2 linked regions of the Anolis sagrei genome follow. The protein of the gene in region 1 interacts with the protein of each later gene in a pairwise test. Links are inferred from orthologs where the notes say so. Each region holds a gene or a part of one and is shown on either strand. Other genes may lie near its edges.

What was found. The genes of interacting proteins can lie anywhere in the genome.
Region 2: the proteins of DTX2 (region 1) and EIF4ENIF1 interact in binary tests that used the Homo sapiens proteins (3 or more experiments, as listed by UniProt). The two-hybrid records come from large-scale screens. The link is inferred for Anolis sagrei from reciprocal best matches to the Homo sapiens genes DTX2 and EIF4ENIF1.

Annotation. Positions count from the first base shown.
Region 1 is NC_090031.1:32,855,779-32,859,536, forward strand, and holds the start of DTX2 (probable E3 ubiquitin-protein ligase DTX2), read right to left. Parts: upstream 2,894-3,758; 5' UTR 2,796-2,893; intron 1,089-2,795; 5' UTR 1,021-1,088; coding exon 732-1,020; intron 1-731. UniProt on the Homo sapiens protein: Regulator of Notch signaling, a signaling pathway involved in cell-cell communications that regulates a broad spectrum of cell-fate determinations.
Region 2 is NC_090034.1:49,410,736-49,414,493, reverse strand, and holds the start of EIF4ENIF1 (eukaryotic translation initiation factor 4E transporter), read right to left. Parts: upstream 2,192-3,758; 5' UTR 1,823-2,191; intron 1-1,822. Other genes in the region: protein SFI1 homolog, read left to right, coding at 2,826-2,852. UniProt on the Homo sapiens protein: EIF4E-binding protein that regulates translation and stability of mRNAs in processing bodies (P-bodies). Plays a key role in P-bodies to coordinate the storage of translationally inactive mRNAs in the cytoplasm and prevent their degradation.

The DNA of each region.
Region 1 (3,758 bases):
ATTTGACAGGAGGTGTATAAAGGGTTTCTAGGGCGAGTGCGATGTGCAATGTGCAGCAGTCATTGGTTCTGATAAAGTGCTTGTGGGACTCGGTAGTGGAGGTTTCCTAATCTGGGAAGGTGCATCGGAAAAGCCAGGTTTTTAAGTTCTTTCTGAAAATAGCCAATGAAGGGGCCTGTCTAAGGTCTTTGGGGAGGGTGTTCCAGAGTTGGGGGGCCACCACGGAGAAGGCCCTGTCCCGCGTCCCCACCAAGCGTGCTTGCGACGCCTGTGGGATCACGAGCAGGGCCTCTCCTAATGACTGAAGAGAACGTGTGGGTTCATAGATGGAAATGCGGTCATGCAGGTAGGCTGGTCCCAAACCGTTCAGGGCTTTGTAGGTAAGCACCTGCACCTTGAATTGAGCTCGGAATATAAACGGCAGCCAGTGGAGTTCCTTAAACAGGAGGGTTGACCTCTCTCTGTAAGGGGCCCCAGTTAACATCCTGGCTGCTGATCGTTGGACCAGTTGGAGCTTCCGAGCCGTCTTCAAGGGCAGCCCCACGTAGAGCGCATTGCAGTAATCCAATCTGGAGGTGACCAAGGCATGGACCACTCCGGCCAGATCCGCCTTTGCTCTATTATTACTGTTACTGCATTTCCATTTTTTTACTCAGCAGGCGAACCATCAACACGCACAAGTCACACTGTTTACCGATTGGCTAGGAGATGGAAGTCCCTGTGGACATTACCTGTATCTTGTCGGAACTGCGTCAAACTGGGGATGTCGATGACGTAGGGGGCCAAAGCAGGGTCCGCTTGCCCCAGGGGGATGCTGCCTTGCAAGGGCCAGGTCCCCAGCGAGCGCCGGCCCTTTGCCGCCAGGGCTTGGAAGGACTGCTCGATGTAGCAGCACACCCCACTGCAGTACGGCCTCCAGCGCCCACACTCGTCCTGCCACTCCCACACCGCGGCCCCCGGGTCCGGCGGAGGAAGAGGAGGAGGCCCGACAGAGGTCCCTGGCAAGGCGGCCATTTTCATACCACCACTTGAACCACGGAGTCTTCGGGACTTCAAAGCATCGCCGCATCAACATTCATCTTCGACGTCTAGAAGCAGAACAGGGAAAAGGAAGGAAAGGCCAAGCGTGACACTCCATCCGCGAGAGAATTTTCTCCCTGCAGGAGATCCCGAGTTCGCCCTCCACACACAGTTATTACATGATTTTTGTTCCTGTGCTACCAATGTTGTTTCCTAATTGGTTCTATCATAAAGTCATGGGAAAACGTTGATCCAACTGCCAAAACTTTGTTGTTGCAAGAGAGACATCCTGCAGCACATTTTGCGACAGTTTTTCTATAAATATCTCAACACAGAGTCTCAACCGATTCAACCCGAACGACACTGCCACACAATGGAATGGCTAAAACACCAAAGTCAAAATATTATCAGAATTTAAGTTATTCAGCCAGAAATTGAAAAGAATCGTATAGGCTCTTTATTATTATTATTATTATTATTATTATTATTATTACTATTTGATTAATACATCTGTACTGCAGAGCTAAGGCAGTTGGATATATATATATATATATATATATTACATTACAGTAGCATTATAATGCTACTGTAATGTAATATATATATATATATATATAAATATATATATATATATTACATTACAGTAGCATTATAATAAATTATAACAATATTATAATATATAATAATATGATATATAATATTAATTTAATAATTACTATTACTATTTGATTAATACATCTGTACTGCAGAGCTAAGGCAGTTGAATATATATATATATATATATATATACACATATATAATAGTAACATAATAAATTATAATAATATTATAATATATAATAATAATATAATATATAGTAATATTAATTTAATAATAATAATTACTATTTGATTAATACATCTGTACCGAAGAGATAAGGCAGTTGGATATATTATATATATATATGTACATATATTATAGTAATATTATAATAAATTATAACAATATAATATAATAATATGATATATAATATTAATTTAATAATTATTATTATTACCATTTGATTAATACATCTGTACTGCAGAGCTAAGGCAGTTGGATATTTTATATATATATATATATATATATATATATATATACACACACACACACATATTATAGTAGCATTATAATAAATTATAACAATATTATAATATATAATAATATTAATTTAATAATAATAATAATAATAATTACTATTTGATTAATACATCTGTACTGCAGAGCTAAGGCAGTTGGATAATATATATATATATACACACACACACATACATACCCACATATATAAAAGTGTTATAATATAAATTATAACAATATTATAATATATAATAATAATATTAATATATAATATTAATTTAATAATAATAATTACTATTTGATTAATACATCTGTACTGCAGAGCTAAGGCAGTTGGATATATATATATATATATATATTAGTAACATTATAATAAATTATAAAAATATTATAATATATAATATATAATATTAATTTAATAATAATAATTACCATTTGATTAATCCATCTGTGCTGCAGAGCTAAGGCAGCTGGATCCCTGTTTCACAGGCCTGCTGGCTCAAGGCTCCTGGGTGCTGGGAGTTGTAGTTTGCCAAGGCCTTGGGCCTTTCCCCACCGAAGAGAGGCCTGTTGCCTCTCCCAAACTACAAATCCCAGGATCCTGAGGCAGCCCCAGTGGGGCCTTCTCCCCGCTGCGGCCCGCCCCGAACTACAACTCCCACCCCCCGCAGGCCCCTCACCTTCCCTCTGCCTGTTGCCAAGGAAGCGCCTCTCCAAACTCCCTGGGCCTCCTTCTCCAACGGCGGAAGTGCCGGGGCGCCCACTGCGCATGCGCGCGCTCCTTCCGTTCCCGAAGGGCGCATGCGCATCCGAAATCGCGGTGCCTGATGGGAAAAGAGGCGCAAAATGGCGTCGGTTTGGTTTCCTTTTCAGGCCTAAGAAGTTCCTGAGCCAGGAAAGAGACATTAGAGAAGGCCCACACGAGCAGGGATGGTCTGCCCAAAACAAGACGCTTTTGAGCCAGGAAAGAGACATTAGAGAAGGGCCACATTAGTCCAGAAGGTCTAATGAGGACTCCCATGTTCTTCAGTGGGAGCTTGAGTGGAATTCCTCTCATTTAGGAAAGAGGAAAAGGCAGAGGAAGGAGAGACCCAATTACCAATATCCAGATCCTGGAGAATGGAGAAAGGCAGGGAGTTTCAGAAAAACATCTACTTCTGCTTCATTGACTATTCTAAAGCCTTTGACTGTGTGGATAAGAAAAGGCAAAAGCTGCACATCGCAAGTGCTGAACCTGACTCAGCACATAGAAGATGGCTTTGAAAGGCAGCAGATCACAGGAGCTGTCTTCATAGACCTGTCAGCAGCCTATGATACTGTGAACCACCACCGCCTCCTCCTGAGAAAAATGTATAATATCACCAAGGACGACCACCTCACCCGCCTCATAGGAAACCTGCTACAAAACAGGAGCTTTTTTGTTGAGTTCCAGGTCCAGAGAAGCAGATGGCGGAAACAGAAGAACGGCCTGCCTCAGGGGAGTGTACTTGCCCCATCCATGTTCAACATTTACACAAATGACCAGCCACTGCCAGAAGGGACGGAGAGCTTCATCTATGCTGATGATCGTGCCATCACCGCTCAAGCAGGGAGCTTTGAGATGGTTCAACAGAAGCTCTCTGAAGCTCTAGGTGCTCTTACTG
Region 2 (3,758 bases), on another chromosome or scaffold:
TAATATGATGTTAACTGTTTTTTATACCGTGTTATGGTAGCATTGAATTTTTGCTGTTCTTGTTGTTAACCGCTGTGAGTCGCCTAAGGGCTGAGAACAGCGGTATACAAATAAAGTAAATAAATAAATAAAGTAAATAAATATTAATAATAAATATATAAATAGAATATATATATATATATATATATATATATACATACACACATATATATAAATAGAATAGAATATAAATGGGGTTTATATATCTGTGGAAAGACCAGGGTGGGACAAAGGACTCTTGTCTGTTGGAGCCAGGTGTGAATGTTTCAACTGACCACCTTGATTAGCATTTGATTGCCTGGCAGAGCCTGGAGCAATCCTTCGTTGAGAGGTGATTAGATGTCCTTGTTTGTTTCCTCTCTGTCGCTGTGCTGTTCTATAATAATAATAATGGCTATTGGTGTTAATTGTGTATTGTTGTTAATTGTATACTTTTCTATAATATGATGTTAACTGTTTTTTATACCGTGTAATGGTAGCATTGAATTTTTGCTGTTCTTGTTGTTAACCGCTGTGAGTCGCCTAAGGGCTGAGAACAGCGGTATACAAATAAAGTAAATAAATAAATAAAGTAAATAAATATTAATAATAAATATATAAATAGAATATATATATATATATATATACATACACACATATATATAAATAGAATAGAATATAAATGGGGTTTATATATCTGTGGAAAGACCAGGGTGGGACAAAGGACTCTTGTCTGTTGGAGCCAGGTGTGAATGTTTCAACTGACCACCTTGATTAGCATTTGATTGCCTGGCAGAGCCTGGAGCAATCCTTCGTTGAGAGGTGATTAGACGTCCTTGTTTGTTTCCTCTCTGTCGTTGTGCTGTACTATAATAATAATAATGGCTATTGGTGTTAATTGTATATTGTTGTTAATTGTATACTTTTCTATAATATGTTATGATGTTAACTGTTTTTTATACCGTGTTATGGTAGCATTGAATTTTTGCTGTTCTAGTTGTTAACCGCTGTGAGTCGCCTAAGGGCTGAGAACAGCGGTATACAAATAAAGTAAATAAATAATAATAATAATATATAAATAGAATATATATATATATATATATATATAGAATAGAATATAAATGGGGTTTATATATCTGTGGAAAGACCAGGGTGGGACAAAGAACTTTTCTCTGTTGGAGCTAAGACAGAATATATAGAATAGAGTAGAATAACAACAATTCTGTTCTATAATAATAATAATGGCTATTGGTGTTAATTGTATATTGTTGTTAATTGTATACCTTTCTATAATATGTTATGATGTTAACTGTTTTTTATACCGTGTTATGGTAGCATTGAATTTTTGCTGTTCTTGTTGTTAACTGCTGTGAGTCGCCTAAGGGCTGAGAACAGCGGGATATAAATAAAGTAAATAAATAAATAAAGTAATTAAATAATAATAATATATAAATAGAATATATATATATATATATATATATATATATATAATAGTATATAAATGGGGTTTATATATCTGTGGAAAGACCAGGGTGGGACAAAGAACTCTTGTCTGTTGGAGCTATGACAGAATATATAGAATAGAGTAGAATAACAACAATAAAATAATATAATACTGTATTAATAGCTGAATATAATGGTAGATAATAATAGAACATAGAACATAATAGTAAAATAATAGGAATAGTATTACATAATAATAGAAGAAAATATTAATAATATTAGAGAATATTACTAGAACAGAATAATAATGGGATAATAGATTCTGCTCTTCTTCTGCCTCTTCCCATACCATAGAGCCTACCTGGGCTGTGGTCTAGAGAGGCCCCCTGCGCGGGCGCGCGACCTGCGGGGTCCTCCGGAGCCTGCCCGGGAGCGCTGCTCTGCTTCTGCTTGGCCTTCTGCTCCTCCTTTCTCTTCGGGATCCGCCATCAACCGAAAGAAGGCAGGCAGGAAAGAAGGAAGGAAGGCTCCGCGCCCCGCCCCCCGTCCCCTTTTAATGCCCGCCGCGCAGGCGCCGATGACGGCGGCCTGCCGGGGACACACCGGAAGATCAGGCGCCGTTGGTGGGCAGAAGTCTCCTTTCCGCGCAGGCGCGTCGCTGTCCGCCCCCCCCTCCCCGCGCGCTCTTTCGCTCATTCCCTTTGGGCACGCGCAGCACACGCCTCTCGCCTCAGCGTTCTCCCTTTTGCGCATGCGCGTCACTGCTATCGCTTGCTTCCTCGCTCATTCCCCGTGCACATGCGCAGCACGGCCCTCATGTCCAAGGGCTTGCCTCTCAGCTGCACACGCGCAGCGTAATCCTCTCCCTCTGCGTTCTGCCTTTTGCGCACGCGCGGCACTGTTTTGCCCCTTCTCTCGCTTCTTCCCATTGCGCATGTGCTCTCGCCTTAGCGACTGAACGCCTCTCTCGAAAGACATCGTGCGCATGCGCAAACTCCCAACCGCTTTCCTATCGGAGGACCCCACTTTTGGACAGCCTTGTTCGAGGTGCCCTCCGTGTTCGCCTGACGGTTTCGCTACGTCGCCATAGCAACCCTAGCTAGGTGAAAGCGCGGTTTTTTTTTCATAGTGCGGACACGATTGCTAAAGTCTTACTCTAACAAGTTTCTTGTATAAGGAAAGGGAAAGGGATTGCTTTAGGCGTTTGTGATAGACAGTTGGACTCTCCGAGTTTGAATTCGTTGGAAGGAGGGAGGCCTTGTGAGCTATTTCTCCAATTAAATTAGTATTGGGTTGTTGTAGGTTTTTCCGGGCTATATGGCCATGTTCTAAAGGCATTTTCTCCTGACGTTTCGCCTGCATCTATGGCAAGCATCCTCACAGGTTGTGAGGTCTGTTGGAACTAGGAAAAAGGGTTTATATACCTGTGGAATGACCAGGGTGGGACAAAGGACTCTTGTCTGCTGGAGCTAGGTGTGAATGTTTCAACTGACCACCTTGATTAGCATATAATGGCCTGACAGTGCCTAGAGCAAACTTTTGTTGAGGTGGTCATTATTATTATTATTATTATTGTTATTATTATAGATAGATAGAGGTATGGATACATTATTTAAATATTTTAAAAACAAAGTTTTAAACGAATTTAGTAAACCTTTACTAATATTAAAGTGCATTTGTCTTTAATGGTTTAAAGAATAATGTTAATATTACGTATTTTATCATTTTTAAATATTAATTAGTATTCATATTTAATTCTTATTAAATATTGTTAGATTGTTACTATGTGTATAAACCGATTCTCCAGTATTGGAGTTCAATATTCTATATTTTATTCTTATTAAATATTATTAAAATATTTATTTTATTATTGTTGTTTTTAAATTTTAAATCAATTATATTTAATTTATTTGTTTATTATTTTATTTATTATTAAATATTAATAAATGCTTTTAATATTATTTTATTTATTTATTTATCAATATTTTATTGATTCTTATTCATATTTATTATTTATTAAATGTATTATTATTATTTGTTATTAAATATTATTAGATTTTTACTATGTATATAAACTGATTCTTTATTTATTTATTTATTTCATGGCTCAGGGCGGCCTCACACAAGCACCATACGATGTCAACAAATAAACAATTCGAAGTACAATTAAAGCATTAAAAACCATTAAAACACTAAAAATAATTCAAGCCCATTATACAGTTCATTAGACAGTAGATTATACATGCCGGTAAAACCAAAAAAGTCAGATTCAATGTCATAAATATCCTAAAATCTCT